Linked DNA regions of Anolis sagrei. The protein of the gene in region 1 purifies or fractionates together with the protein of each later gene. This does not show direct contact. Links are inferred from orthologs where the notes say so. Each region holds a gene or a part of one and is shown on either strand. Other genes may lie near its edges. The genes, in order: SLC39A7 and FAM174A.

What was found.
Region 2: the proteins of SLC39A7 (region 1) and FAM174A purify together in Homo sapiens (co-immunoprecipitation; 3 studies listed by BioGRID and IntAct, with this or other methods). This does not show direct contact. The link is inferred for Anolis sagrei from reciprocal best matches to the Homo sapiens genes SLC39A7 and FAM174A.

What each region holds. Positions count from the first base shown.
Region 1 is NC_090022.1:1,687,383-1,695,219, reverse strand, and holds the start of SLC39A7 (zinc transporter SLC39A7), read left to right. Parts: upstream 1-4,639; 5' UTR 4,640-4,816; intron 4,817-5,111; 5' UTR 5,112-5,116; coding exon 5,117-5,665; intron 5,666-7,837. Other genes in the region: RXRB (retinoic acid receptor RXR-beta), read right to left, coding at 3,428-3,458. UniProt on the Homo sapiens protein: Transports Zn(2+) from the endoplasmic reticulum (ER)/Golgi apparatus to the cytosol, playing an essential role in the regulation of cytosolic zinc levels.
Region 2 is NC_090022.1:251,213,712-251,221,727, reverse strand, and holds the start of FAM174A (membrane protein FAM174A), read left to right. Parts: upstream 1-4,885; 5' UTR 4,886-4,956; coding exon 4,957-5,324; intron 5,325-8,016.

The DNA.
Region 1 (7,837 bases):
CATTTGTGGGATTAACATAACTCAAAAACCACTGGAAAACTGACACCAAATTTGGCCACAAGACACCTCTCAGGCCAATGTATGTCCTTCACTAAAAATAATGATGATTTTGTCATTTGGGAGTTATAGTTGCTGGGATTTATAGTTAACCTACAATCAAAGAGCACTCTGAACTCCATCAATGATGGAATTGAACCAAACATGGCATACAGGACTCCCTTGACCAATAGAAAACACTAGAAGGGTTTGGTGGGCATTGACTTTGAGTTTAGGAGTTGTAGTTCGCCTACATCCAGAGAGCACTGTAGACTCAAGCAATGATGGATCTGGACCAAACTTGGCATGAATATTCCATATGCCCAAATATGAACACAGAAAGAGTTTGGGGAAATAGACCTTGACATTTGGGAGTTGTAGTTACTGGGATTTATAGTTCACCTACAATCAAAGAGCATTCTAACTCCACCAATGACACAATTGGGACAAATTTCCCACACAGAACCCCCATGACTAACAGAAAATACTTAAGGCCATCCAATCCAACTCCCCTCACCAGGGCAAGAAAACGTAATCAAAGCCCTCCTGACAAAGAGCCATCCAGCCATAGACATAGATAGATCAATATGATTCACACAGAGAGAGAGATATAGCATCATAGATTTGAAAGGGATCCTTAAAAAAGGACAATTATGTTGCATGTTCCAGAGTAGGCAAACCAGGCAATCTCCACATCGACACTGACAAAGAAACAGCAAAAAAAATACTGTTTACCCACAAGCATATAGACATTACATATATCAGAAACCAGGACTCCAGTTCACCCGACTGGGCCACAGCAACGCCTGGCAGGGGATGGCTAGTAATAATAATAAATACTATGGGATGATTTTACATTGAAATACCTTGTTTTGGGTTGACATACCTATCTATTAGTCTAAACGATGAGGACATGATTCAAGCTGCAATTCAAATCATACTTTAAATCTTACAGGACAATCGTAGTGTGTATCTGTGTGCAAATAGGTGTCTTGTGTCCAAATTTGGTGTCAATTCGTCCAGTGATTTTTGAGTTATGTTAATCCCACAAATGAACACTACATTTTTATTTATATAGATGACTGTATTACATGTATTGTGTTTGAGAGCAGTTGCTCCTTTTCATTTCAATCTATGTGAATACATTGAATTACACTGAACTATATACTGAATATCTATGGGGGGACGATGCCTGGCTCGAGAGCAGTATGTGTGAAAAAGATCTTGGAGTCCTCGTGAACAAGAAGTTAAACATGAGCCAACAATGTGATGTGGCGGCAAAAAAAGCCAATAGGATTGTGGCCTGCATCAATAGGAGCCTAGTGTCTAGATCTAGGGAAGTCATGCTCCCCGTGCTCTATTCTGCCTTGGTCAGACCACACCTGGAATACTGTGTCCAATTCAGGGCACCACAATTGATGAAAGATATTGACAAGCTGGAATGTGTCCAGAGGAGGGCAAATAAAATGATGAAGGGTCTGGAGAACAAACCCTATGAGGAGCGGCTTAAGGAGCTGGGCATGCTTAGCCTGAAGAAGAGAAGGCTGAGAGGAGACATGATGAGGGCCATGCATAAATATGTGAGAGGAAGTCATAGGGAGGAGGGAGCAAGCTTGTTTTCTGCTTCCTTGGAGACTAGGACGCAATGGAACAATGGCTTCAAACTACAAGAGAGGAGATTCCATCTGAACACGAGGAAGAACTTCCTGAGTGTGAGAGCCGTTCAGCAGTGGAACTCTCTGCCCCGGAGTGTGGTGGAGGCTCCTTCTTTGGAAGCTTTTAAACAGAGGCTGGATGGCCATCTGTCAGGGGTGCTTTGAATGCAATATTCCTCCTTTTTGGCAGGGGGTTGGACTGGATGGCCCAGGAGGTCTCTTCCAACTCTTTGATTCTAGGATTCTAAGCCGGCCTTCAATTGTGTTTACATTCTGACAGCTGTTTTAGCTCTCCCTTTGGTAGGTCGTTCCACAGTCTTGGAATCACAGAATACTAGAGTTGGAAAAGGCTACACAGGACCTTTTGGCTACACCCCCCTTTGTGCCAGGCAGGAGAAGCACCCTCGGAGCTCTCCCGACAGATGGCCATCCAGCCCCTGCTTCAAAGCCTCCATGGAAGTGCGAGGCAGAGAGTTCCTCTGCTGAACAGCTCTCTTTCCAACTTGTCAATATCTCTCTTGAATTGTGGTGCCCAGAATTGGACACAATATTCCAGGTAGAGTGGTCTAACCAAAGCAGAATAGAGCATGGGGAGCAGGACTTCCCTAGATCTAGACACTAGGCTCCTATTGATGCAGGCCAGAATCCCATTGGCTTTTTTTGCCGCCACTTCTCATTGTTGGCTTATGTTCACCTTCCCGTCCATGAGGACTACAAGATCTTTTTCACACGTACTGCTCTCCAGCCAGGCATTGTCCCCCATTCTGTATCTTTGCATTTCGTTTTTCCTGCCAAAATGGAGTATCTTGCATTTGTCACTGGAGGCAAGGAAGCTCATGAGGGGAAGGAGGGTGGGTGTGCCAATGCCAGATTTACTCAGGGATTTTGTTGGATGGAGGCCTCACCAAACTATAAATTCCCAGGTTTCCTAATGAGGGTAGGTACCCGTAAAATGGCAGTACACCTATTCCAGTGTTTCCCAACCTTCCTAGTGCCGCGACCCCTTAATACTTTTCCTCATGTTGTGATGACCCCCAACCATAACATTATTTTGCTACTTCATAACTTTAATTTTGCTCCCGTTATGAATCATAATGCAATTATCTGATAAGCAGGATGTATTTCCATTCACTGGACCAAAGCGGAATAGAGGGGTAGCATTACTTCCCTGGACCTAGACACTATGCTCCTATTGATACAGGCCAAAATCCCACTGGCTTTTTTTGCCGACACATTCTTCCTCTCTGCCCCGGAGGGAGTGTGGTGGAGGCTCCTTCTTTGGAGGCTTTTAAACAGAGGCTGGATGGCCATCTGTCAGGGGGGCTTTGAATGCAATATTCCTGCTTCTTGGCAGAATGGGGTTGGACTGGATGAGGGCCCAGGAGGTCTCTTCCAACTCTAGGATTCTATTATTATCATTATTATTATTATTATTATTATTAAGCAGAGGCTGGCCATCTGTCAGGGGTGCTTTGAATGAGATTTTCCTGCTTCTTGGCAGAATGGGGTTGGACTGGATGAAGGCCCAGGAGGTCTCTCCCAACTCTAGGATTCTGGAGTGGGATCTCCCTCCTGTCATTGGAAGCCATGGTTCCATTCGAGGCCTAGTCAGAGGCAGGAAGCCTACTCTCTCTCCTCTCCGGGCTGTCAACAACACCCACCCACCTCCCTACCCGACTCTGACGCCAGGCGGGGGAGAAAGAAGCCTCCCTTTTTCCCCGCAAAGGCCTCCTCACCTGCCCCGGGCCTCCCGGCGTCGCCCATCATCCTCCTCCCCGCCTTCGCCTCCGCCTTCGCCTTCACTGCCTTCGCCGCCTCAGCTTGGCCTGGGCCTGCCCACAATGCACCGCGCGCCGGGCCTGGCTGGGGGCCTCTCGCGCGGCGCCTTCCTTTCCCGTCAGGCAGCGCGGCGGCGCCCCCCTCCCTCTCTCCCTCCCTCCCTCCCCTTCGCCTTGGCCAGACTCCCAGCCTGCCCCGCGCGCGCGATCGCTGGCCTCCGACGAGACCAAGGCCTACCTCTCTCTCTCCCTCACTCACCGTTGGCCATCCTCCCACAATGCACCGGGCCAGGAGACAGCCCCGCCCCCTCCTCCCCCCCTTTCCTCTCTCCGCATGAATGTGCTCTCCTCCACCAGAAAGAAAGATGGCGGCGGCGGCGTCTGAGGTAACGAAGGGCCATCTTTGTTGAGGGCATACCTCACAACTCCCCCCTAATAAATGGAAACGAAACGTCAGAAAAGAATGCTTCTGGAACAAGAGTCATGCCACACGAAAGACCTACAACCACCAAGCCTTGTTTTATTTATTTACCCCGCCCCAGGGTGACAATTTCCCTAAAACAAACCGCCGCCATGTTTGTTGAGGGCGACAATACCTCCGTTGGCGTTTATCAGCCATGTTTGTCGCCGGTTCCGCCATATTGCGAAAGGGTAAATGTTGGGAAATTAAGTGACCGCCATGTTTGTTGAGGGCGACAATCCTTCGGTTGGCCGGCTCCGCCATATTGTGAAAGGGCAAAGGGGGGAATTGATTGATCGCCATGTTTGTTGAGGGCGACAATCTATGGTTGGCGTTTTCAGCCATGTTTGTCGCCGGTTCCGCCATATTGCGAAAGGGCAAAAGTTGGTAAATACATTGACCGCCATGTTTGTTGAGGGCGACCATCCCTCGGTTAGCGTTTATCAGCCATGTTTGTCGCCGGCGCCGCCATATTGCGAAAGGGCAAAAAGGGGAAATTGATTGACCGCCATGTTTGTTGAGGGCGACAATCCCTCGGTTGGCGTTTTCCGCCATATTGCTAAAGGGCAAAAGTTGGGAAATTGATTGATCGCCATGTTTGTTGAGGGCGACAATCCATCGGGTGGCATTTTCAGCCATGTTTGTCGCCGGCGCCGCCATATTGAGAAAGGGCAAAAGTTGGGATTTGAATGAAGGGAGGGGCATTTCTCGCGAGGTTTGGACCGAGTGGGCGTGGCCTAGGTGCCACGTCAGGTTTTAAGCCCGGTGTTGCTAACGGATCCGGGAGAGCGGAGTGAGGGATCTGGAGAAAAGGGTCACCGGGGGACGCTCTGGCCTCGTTCTCCCCGCGACTCTATGCCCTTGGAGGACTGCAGCCCCAGAAGAAGGTGAAGGGATTCAGCTTATGTGAAAGTTTATGTACTATTATTATAATTATATTATATTATTATTATATTATTGTATTATTATAATATATTATTATATTATATTGTATTATTATAATATTATTATTATATATAGAAAATATATAATATAATATATATTATATTAAGCAGAGGCTGGATGGCCATCTGTCTTGAGGGCTTGTGTGGTGTCCCTGCCTGGAAGGCAGAAGGGGGCAGGGCTGGATGTTCTTTAGGGGCCTCTTCCAACGCCCTTAACACTCTTATTTCTTCCCTCCAGAGACAATGGTCAAGATGGTGGCGTGCCGGTGGCCGAGGACCGTGGTGACCCTCCTGGTGGTCTGTTCCGTGTTCCTGCTTCTGCTGAGGACGTCATCTGCACAGCACGAAGGCTTCCACGGCCATGCGCACGAGGACTTGCACCACGGACACAGCCACGACGGCCTTCACCATGGCCACAGCCATGAGGATTCGCACCACAGCCACGACGGCCACGGTCACACGCACGAGCACCTCTGGCGCGACCCCGCGGAGCACCACCATCATGATGACCATGAGGACTTCCACCACGGCCACAGCCACGCTGGCCACGGCCACACTCACGAGCACCTCTGGCGCGATCCCTCTGAGCACCACCACCATGACCATGAGGACTTCCACCACGGCCACAGCCACTCGCACGAGGGACCCCGCCACGATCACAGCCACAGCCACCTTCATGGGCATTCGCACGAGGACCACGTTGGTGGCCCCAGCCAGGGCGGGGCCTTCCCCGACCACGAGAGGCCCCCTCCCAGGAGAGAGAAGCTGGAGACAGCGTGGCTGTGGACTTACGTGAGTCTGGGGACTCTTTGCAGAGGAGGGATTGGTTCCATCATTATGATATCACGGGGTTGGGAGGGAAACGCCACATCACACTCTTGGCGCATAGTCCTCAGCCTGTGATCCCCTGAGACTCCCAGGATCTCCTTTCAAGCCAGTCACACCCGCCCTAGTTCTCTGCATTTCATTCGTATTGCCTGACATTAAGTCCAGTCGAGTCCAACTCTGAGACTCTGGTGCCCATCTCCATTTCTGTTGGAGTTCAGCTTGTGATTGTGTTTCAGGATCAGGGTGCTTTGGATTGGGAAGTGATGCCAATGAATTTCAAGATGGCAATGATACCGATGCAGAGAAGGACCAGGAGACCCTTTTGCAAAGTGTAGTTTCCCATGAGAATGTCCCAGAAGGGTGTGGGGATGATAGTGTACTCCCTGAATTCCTACCAGAGAGTTCCCAGCATTCGGGGCTTGAAAACAACTGGGCACCTGACCCAGCTGCAAAACCTAATGAGCAAATAGATAGGTGGCAGGAGATTAGTCAAAACAGGCAGACCGAACAGGCAAACCACAATGGTGTGGTGTTTACAGTCAGGGCTTTTCCTGCCCTGCCTAGAATCAAAGAGTTGGAAGAGATCTCGTGAGCCATGCAGTCCTGCATAGAATCATAGAATCATAGAGTTGGAAGAGACTTCCTGGGCCATCATCCAGTCCAACCCCATTCTGCCAAGAAGCAGGAATATTGCATTCAAATCACCCCTGACAGATGGCCATCCAGTCTCTGTTTCAAACCTTCCAAAGAAGGAGCCTCCACCACACTCCGGGGCAGAGAGTTCCACTGCTGAACGGCTCTCACAGTCAGGAAGTTCTTCCTCATGTTCAGGTGGAATCTCCTCTCTTGTGGTTTGAAGCCATTCTTCCATTGCGTCCTAGTCTCCAGGGAAGCAGAAAACAAGCTTGCTCCCTCCTCCCCGTGGCTTCCTCTCACATATTTATACATGGCTATCATATCTCCTCTCAGCCTTCTCTTCTTCAGGCTAAACATGCCCAGCTCCTTAAGTCGCTCCTCATAGGGCTTGATCATTTGAGTCGCCCTCCTCTGGACACATTCCAGCTTGTCAATATCTCTCTTGAATTGTGGTGCCCAGAATTGGACACAATGTAATTCCAGATGTGGTCTAACCAAAGCGGAATAGAGCATGGGGAGCATGACTTCCCTGGATCTAGACACTAGGCTCCTCCTGATGCAGGCCAAAATCCCATTGGCTTTTTTTGCCGCCACATCACATGTTTAACTTCCTCCCCACGAGGACTCCAAGATCTTTTCCACACATCCTGCTCTTGAGCCAGGCCTCATCGTCCCCCATTCTGTCTCTTTGCATGTGGTTTTTCCTGCCAAAGTGGAGTATCTTGCATTTGTCACTGTTGAACTTCCTTTTCTTAGTTTTGGCCAATCATCTCTCTAATCTGTCAAGATCGTTTTGAATCCTGTTCCTGTCCTCTGCAGTGCAACAGTATGCTTCATTTGACTATATTTCCCATACTTGGAACTTTTATCCCCTCGTTAAGCTATCCCAAGCACTCAGAAATTGGTTTCGCTTTAATTGAGATTCCCTTATCTTTTTCTGTCGGATTCTGGCAGGGCGCTGAAGCCACTGTTCGGTTTGCCTGTTTTGACTAATCGCCTGCCGCCTGTCTATTTGCTCATTGAGTTATAGGGAGACGTGATTACACAAATAGCCTGGACCCAATCCATTTAGGGCTTTATAGATGATGACCAGCACTTTGTATTTAGCCCTGTTGAGATTCCTAGCCGCTGCCCAGCCCTGATTTGCATGCCGGCCCGCAGGGGGAAGGGTTTGGGTGCATCTGCACTGCAGAATGAATGCGGTTTCACACCACTTGAGCCTCTCTGGCTCACCGCTAGGGAATCATGGGAGTCGCAGTTTGTTTACAATTTGGAAGAGGGAGCTAAAGCTTTTGCAGAGCTGTAACTCTTGTGATCCTGTTGCCTTGACAGTTGAAGTGGCGTCAAAAGTGCGTCAGTTCTCCAATGTGGACACTAGGGCTGGTCAATTCGTTTCGTTAATTCGTAATTCGTTAAAAAATTCGTTAATTTTTGAATTACGAAACAATTACAAAACATTTTTTTTAACCTGGAAGTGTTTTTAAATATCGAAACGGCAGG
Region 2 (8,016 bases), about 250 Mb from region 1:
GCCATGTAGGGACCGGCAAAGCACTCCTGACAGATGGCCATCCAGCCTCTGCTTAAACCCTCCTCAGAAGAAGACACCACCATGCTCTGAGGCAGCATGTTATCACATTGGAACAGCCCTTACCATCAGGACTTTTTCCTATTGTTTAGGTGGAATCTTTTCCTGCAATTTGAATCCACTGCTCCATGTCCTAGCTTTTAAGGTGACAGAAACACGTCACTTTTCATTTGCAAAACCTTGGATTTAGTATGAAGATATGAAGAGTAAGAAGGAAAATTCATTAAAGCACTGTTCTTTTACCACAAAATTTTCATGGATCTTGCCATATTTAATATGTTTGAATCCTATTTAAGCTACTTATGGTTTTAATATCCTGTCCTGAAATTCCACAATAAAGGTTGGAATTTAAATATCCTATTAAATAGATAGATAATGCAACAATGGATAAAAGAAATTTCTTTTCAACCCCATACTGCTGCCATGGGGGAGTGTTTGAATGAGACACAAGAGGCCAATGAACATCTGGCATATCCAAAACGAAGGCATACATATATGCAATCCTGAGTTACATGCACTTATGCTACCAACTGGCTTCCAGTTCTGGCTGTTTAGTTTTTGCGTAGTGTGCAGGTATATTAATGCAAATATAGGTAATACTCCAGATGTTGCTCAATAACAACTCTCAGCATTCCTCAACATTACTATGGTGACAAAGGATGCATGAAGTCCAACATCTGGAGCACCACATTCTTCCTTTGCCTTCTCCAAGTTGCTACAAACCAAAAATAAAAATAACCTGTAAAAATGGATTTATTGCAATCCAAGATTAGTAATATTTTAAGACATTTCTCTAAGCTTTGATAAAATTCAGAATTATTATTTTTTTAATTCAGGCATTTTTTGATTATCATATACAAGTAAGCGTGCAACTCTGGGCTACATTCCGCCTTTAAAAAAACAATTTCCAACACAATCTGAATATTATGATTGTAAGTAATGGAGAAGCTTCGCATAGACATTTTCTGCGAAAAAATGAAGATGCAGTAAGAAATTCTATAAAATTCCCTGACTACGGCTATTAAACTCATTATAATTCCAAATAGCCCTTCCCTTAGTTGATCTTCTGAACAACCAAAGAATGTAGACACGTCCAGTTAAATGGATCAGTGACTTAATCACATACAACAAAATCAGTGTTTCTACACATGTAAGAATCGGCAACCCACGGAGCTCATCACATGATGCAAGCCTCAACTGTGGGTTCCAGGTATTTAACCGTTTTGCAAGTGTGGGTTTCCCCCACAATTTCTAAATCAATTGGCAATGAACTTGTTTTCATTTCCCCGCATTGAGACATGTAAGAACACCCAATTTAACATGTGATGGGAATCCACCCTCCTTGCCCATTTGTAAATTCTCAGGCTGAAAAGCACACCTGGTTCTCCAAAACTGGGATTAATGTATAAAACATTCACATATTTACAGTATTTGGAGTTCTTTTAGAGAAACTGGCAAGTCTGGATTTTGAACTCAGCAACATTAATTGGCATCAATTATATGTCACTATATTTTTTCTTCTTATTTCCATAAACAAATATTATATCAGAACCATAATTCAGCACTCTCTGCTCCAGGCTTATCACAAAATCCATATTAATCGCATTTCATGGCAAGTCTTCGAGGCAGAGTTTTCTTGAGATCAAACTATTAGTATTATTATTTATTCACTTCCTGTAGTAAGTGTCAGTACAAAGTGGTTAACAATTGGTATCTCATTTGTCCTCTTAATAACCCTGAGAGCTGGTTAGACTGAGAGTACATGATTTGCCCAAGGCAATACAGCAAGTGCCATGGTCCAGCAGTAGAAAAATCTGCAGCAACCTAATGCGACTTTCACAGGCATATTTTGGTAGCATTTATTCAGTGGAGCTTTGCTATTGCTGTCCTCTGAGGCTGAAAGTGTGTGCAACTTGCTCAAGATCACTCAATGAGTTTTCAGGGCTGAGTGAGGATTTGAACCCAACACTCAATCCACTACCCCATGCCAGCTCAATCTGTTATTCTCAGGGCACATCTACACTGTATAATGAATGCATGTTGACACCACCTTAACTGCCAGGTTTTGATGCTATGGAATCCTGGGAGTTATAATTTTACAAGGTCTTCACCCTTCTCTGCCAAAGAGTACTGGTGCCTCACCAAGCAACGAATCCCAGGATTCCATAGCACTGAGCCATGACAGTTCAAGTGGTGTCAAACAGCATTATTTCTACAGTGTAGATCAGGGATTCCCAAGCTAAGGTCAATGGGCAGGATGCAGCCCTCCAAAGTCATTTACCCAGGCCTCACCTTTTAGACCAGTGGTTCTTAACCTGTGGGCCATGGAACACCAGTGGGCCGTGAGGACAAAAATCTGGACTGCTCCTTCCTCTTTGTTTTATTTTATTTATTTTATTACTGATCCTTTCGCACCGCCTGCCACTCCTTCCCTTTCGCTGACCAGTCCCAACCCCTTGGATAGACCACATCAGCTCCAGATTATCAAATATGGTTTTCTGTGGGCAGGCAGATGGCAACTACTGGATGGAATATGTTCTGTATCAGAAACTAGAGCTGATGTAGTCGATCCAATGTAATTTTCTACATCAACACTCCAAATAACCAAACCAAATCTAAAGTTGACCAAAAACTGATTCTTAACCCTTTTGGGACTAATGTTGGAGAGCGGTCCCTGGTCAAAGTGGTCTATGTTCAGTGTTCCCTGGTCAAGAAAAGGTTAGGAACCACTGCTTTAGACTTAGGGTTATTACACTGATTCTGCAACTGCATTGGCTACCAATAGAACATCGGATCTCTTACAAGATAATGATCCTGACATTTAGAGCTCAAAATGGCCAAGGACCCGCCTCATTCCTTTTCTCCATCAGTGGTCACCTCGATCCACCCAGGAAAATCTCCTATACATACCGGGCCCTAGGGAGGTACACCTGGAAGCTACAAGATGTAGAGCTTTTTTGACCTATGCTCCAATTCTGTGGAACTCATTGCCTCCATATATTAGAGCAATGTCGGAGTTGCGACCTTTTGTAAAGGCACTGAAGACTTGGCTGTTTGGTTGTGCATTTAAGTAATCAGATCTAATTTGCCAAATAGTCACTGTTGGATGTTTTTATGTTGAATGTTTTTATATTGTGTAAATGCTATTTTAGATTGTAAGTCGCTCGTAGCACCTTGGTGGAGAGCGACTAAGAAATAAAGTGAAGTGAAGTGAAGTGAAGTGAAGGGTTACCCTAAATCTGAAACAACTTGAAGGTACACAGCGACAACAATCCTAATTTACTGACTGTCAGCCAAAAGCAGGCTCACACTTCTCATTAAAACACTGGTATGTTTATGTTGGTTAAAATGTTCTTCATTTTAAACATTGTATTGATCTTTTGTGTGTGTTTTATGCACTACAAATAAGATGTGTGTACTGTGCATGGGAATCTATAGTCCAGCCCCCAACAGTCTGCGGGACCGTCAATTGGCCCTCTGCTTAAAACATTCAAATCTAGGATACTATATCTCTGTGTGTGTGTCGTTATCTATCTGTATCTATAGCTGGATGGCTCTTTGTCAGGAGGGCTTTGATTACATTTTCTTGCTCTAGTGAAGGGAGTTAGACTGGATGGCCTTAAGTATTTTCTGTTGGTTCTGGGGGTTCTGGGAGGGAAGTTTGCCCCCAATTCTGTCGTTGGTGGGGTTCAGAATGCTCTTTGATTGTAGGTGAACTATAAATCCCAGCAACTACAACTCCCAAATGTCAGGGTCTATTTTCCCCAAACTCCATCTGTGTTCATATTTGGGCATATGGAATATTCATGCCAAGTTTGGTCCAGACCCATCATTGTTTGAGTCCACAGTTCTCTCTGGATGCAGGTGAACTACAGCTCCCAAACTCAACGTACAGCCACCAAACCCTTCCTAGTGGTTTCTGTTGGTCATGGGAGTCCTGTGTGCCACATTTGGTTCAGTTCCATCATTGGTGGAGTTTGATTGTAAGTAAACTATAAATCCCAGCAACTACAACTCCCAAATGACAAAATCATTTTTTGAGTGATGGTCATTCCTTGGGTTAGTAGGTGTCTTGTGGCCAAATTTGGCGGCAATTCGTCCAGTGATTTTTGAGTTATGTTAATCCCACAAACGAACATAACATTTTTATTTATATAGACTAGCTGTCCCCTGCCATGCGTTGCTGTGGCCCAAGCAGTAAGAACCAGACCTTGAAACTGCTGGGTCATTAAATGCTAATTAAGGTGGCCAATTGAAAAATTGTATAAATTGTGGGAGTTGAAGTCCCCAAAACCTGGAGGGCCAAAGCTTGTCCACACCTGGTCTACACTACCCATATAATGCAGTTTCAAACTCCATTATATGGCAGTACAGAAGTGGGGGGCGCACTGTAATTCTCAGGCTGAAAAAAACACCTAGTTCTAAGAATTAATGTCTAAAATGTGCACATATTTGTATTCTTTGGAGTTCTTTTAGTCGACAGCAGTGGTTCTCAACCTGTGGGTCCCCATGTGTTTTGGCCTACAACTCCCAGAAATCCCACCAGTTTACCAGCTGTTAGGATTTCTGGGAGTTGGAGGCCAAAACATCTGGGGACCCACAGGTTGAGAACCACTGGTCTACAGAAACTCAGTGGGAGAAGCGCGATGTAGTTCTGCGCATGCGCCCCGCCCAGCCAGCCTGCCAGGCAGGGAGAGAGGAGGCTACTCAAGGAGTTCTATCTAGCAGCGCGATGAAGTTCTGCGCATGCGCCCTGCCCGCTTTCCAGATGAGAGAGGAGACGACTGAAGCCTCTCGGCGTCCATGGCAACGGCCTGGGCCTTCCGGAAGAGCGAGCACTTCCGGTTCCGGTTCCTCCTCCCTGGGCGGCGTGGGGGGCCGAGTTAGGGACGGGGCGCCATGCGGCAGCTCTCGCCGCTGCCTCCCCGCACCCTGACGCCCCTGCCGGGCCTGCTTGTGGCGGCGGTGCTGGCGCTGGCCCTGCTCCGCGGGGAAGCGGCCCCTGCCCCGGAGCCCCGCTCCCCTCCTCCGAAGCAGGCTTTGCCCTCGGAGCAGTTAGGCCGCGAAGAGCTCCCCGAGGCCTCTCCGGACAGCACCGGCCCTCCCGACGCGGTGCCCAGTGGCAATGGAAGCAGTAGCAGCAGCAGCAGCCTGGCCGCCGTGCCGCCGCCTCCCCAGGCCAGCCCGCCCATGACCCAGCGCGCCCTCTCGGTGCTCGTCCTCGCCAGCGCCGCCCTCATCGTCTACTTCGTCATCCGGACCGTCCGGTGAGCCCCAAGGGAGGGTCCCGCCTCTCCACCTTGACTCCACGCTCACTGCTTACTGCTTCGGATCCCAGGAGTTGTAGTTTTGCAAGGCCTTCCCCTTTCTAGTTCCGCACAAAACTACAGCTCCCAGGATTCCATAGCCGTGAAAGTGGGGTCCCTCGAAATCCCAGTTTAATTAATTAATGCCATGCCGGCATGAAGTAGAATCGTGGGTGTTGTAGTTTCACGGTTTTTTTTTTAGCCAAATTGCAAAATGTATTGAACCCATAACACTGGGTCAGGCCAGATAAAGTGGTGTCAAACTGCATTCATTCTCCAGTGCAGATACACCAAGGTTATATCTGAGTGAGAGATTGGCTCAGGCGTGGGAAAACTTCAGCTCTTCAGGTGTTTTTGACTCCAACTCCCACAATTCCTAACAGTCATTGGCAAACTTGGGGCCCTCTGGGTGTTTTGGACTTCAACTCTCACAATTCCTAACAGCCATGGGCAAACTTGGGGCCCTCCGGGTGTTTTGGACTCCAACTCCCACAATTCCTAACAGCCGGCTGTTAGGAATTGTGGGCTTCAGGCACCACTTCTGAGGGCCAGATCTATTCTCCTCTGCCTACCTTTCCTTTAGACCTCTGTAAGGATCTTCTTTAAAGTTTGATCCAAAGCCTGAGTGTCTTTGTGACAAATTCTGATAAGTTTGACATGAGTGTAATTAAAGATTGTAAAATCCAAAGTAGGCTGCAGTTTATAACCCATAATACTTCTAATCAGATTGGTCCTCAGACCATAGAGCCTATCTTAGTTTTGGTCCTTACTAGCATCATGAGTTTGTTAGCTTGCTGGGATTTAGGGAAGTTGAAGTCCAAAATACCTTGAGGACCAAAGGTTGAGACTATCTAGTGTGATCAACCAAATATTATGGTAACCCATTCCTCTCCCAGTGATCCATGGTTTTACGTATTTTCATGATCCACACCAGTAGTTCTCAATCTATGGGTCCCCACATGTTTTGGTCTTCAACGCCCACAATTCTTAACTGGAGGACCAAAGATTGGGAACCATTGTTTTATGCAGTTGGAGTGCCACATCCACAGATTACACGTCCAAGGATTCCACCTTCCGTGGTGGGAGAATATTCTCAAAATAATCCAAAAGACAAACTGATTTTACTACTTTCTGTCACTTTACTGCACTATTGTATATAACGGGACTCGAGCATTCACAGATTTTGGTGTCCATTGGCGATCTTGGAACCAAACACCAACAGATACCCAGGGCCCACTGTATTCAGTCAAAATTGTTAGCAGTACACCATCATGGCGTTCTCTCCCCATAAGATTATGGGGATATTAAGATTATGTCACTGCTTTTCTATTTTATTTTAGGTGTGGAGAGCTCATAGTCCTAAGATGCATCAGTTCTCAAAAGCTCAAACTATTATGGGCAGTGGCAAAGTCCAAGACATCTGGCATGCAACGGGTCCCTATTTCTGCCTTGCACACTGGGGGCCCACAAATATTTCATATACAGTTACAGCACTATGACTGCCATTGTTCCATTTTTCTGGAATCCAGGGGTTCATGATTTTTCGAGGCTCTGAACTCTTAATGTTCTTCTCCCAAATTGCCAACCCCATACCTTAGAGTGGAACAATAGCCGTTAAAAGTGGAATAATGGTTCTTTAATTCCATTGTGTGGATGGTATTCATTGTGTGGATGGTAATCTTATCACCAGGAATGGAAATTCACTGTGAGTTATCATGGCAAAATGGTGTATCCACTGAAGCTTTATCACCAATCCTTATTTCCACAACAAGCCGAATTTTTCAAAATCCAATGATCACATGGACGGAAAGTGAGGTGAAATCTGAACAGGAGCACAGACAGAAAAATAAATACTGCAGGGGTGCTAACTCTTCCTTATTCTATCCAAAGCTAAAAAAAAAAAAAAATAGGCTGGAGTTACACTTAAAAATGTGCCTGTTCCAACTTACATACACATTCAACCTAAGAACAAACACACAGAACCTATCTTGTTCGTAATTTGGGGACTGTCTATAGATAATAGTGAAACCTTTTGAAATGAATGATCTCAATTAAATGTTTCCATAGAATTGCCCTGGAGGACTTACGAATTCTGGATATGCAAAACCATGGATAATAGCTAACACTATTAAAGTGAAATACTTTTGATCCAAGTATTGTAATAGAGTCACACGTGAGGACCCACACATTCCTAAAAGAGACATATTTTGTTGGGTGTGGATCAATGAAGCTGGAGACACTGGTCCTGAAAATATGGGGGTCCTACTTTATTTGAATAAGGAAGCAAGGATACCCCAATTAGTTGTACTACACCTTTCAACATCTAGTAATTTGTGAAGAAAAGTTTTATGTTGTAAAATAAAGTTTGTATATTCAGGTTGCCTGTTGCCTTATAGCAACAATCCTTCATCTGAAATATAGCCTACAGCATGTAATCTTTGTTGGTAGTCTCTCATCCAAGTACTAACTAGAGTTGACTCTCTTTAGCTTCCAAGATGAGATGGGATCTAGTATCTTCGGGATATTTAGGCTTCCACTGCACAGAATTTCAGTCCAAGGCTTCAGTCCAATCTTTTACCCATATAGATAGCTTCCTAATTGGAACTTTCCTGAATTACCATGTCTAAAATTACACTGATGGAATAAGTTCTGG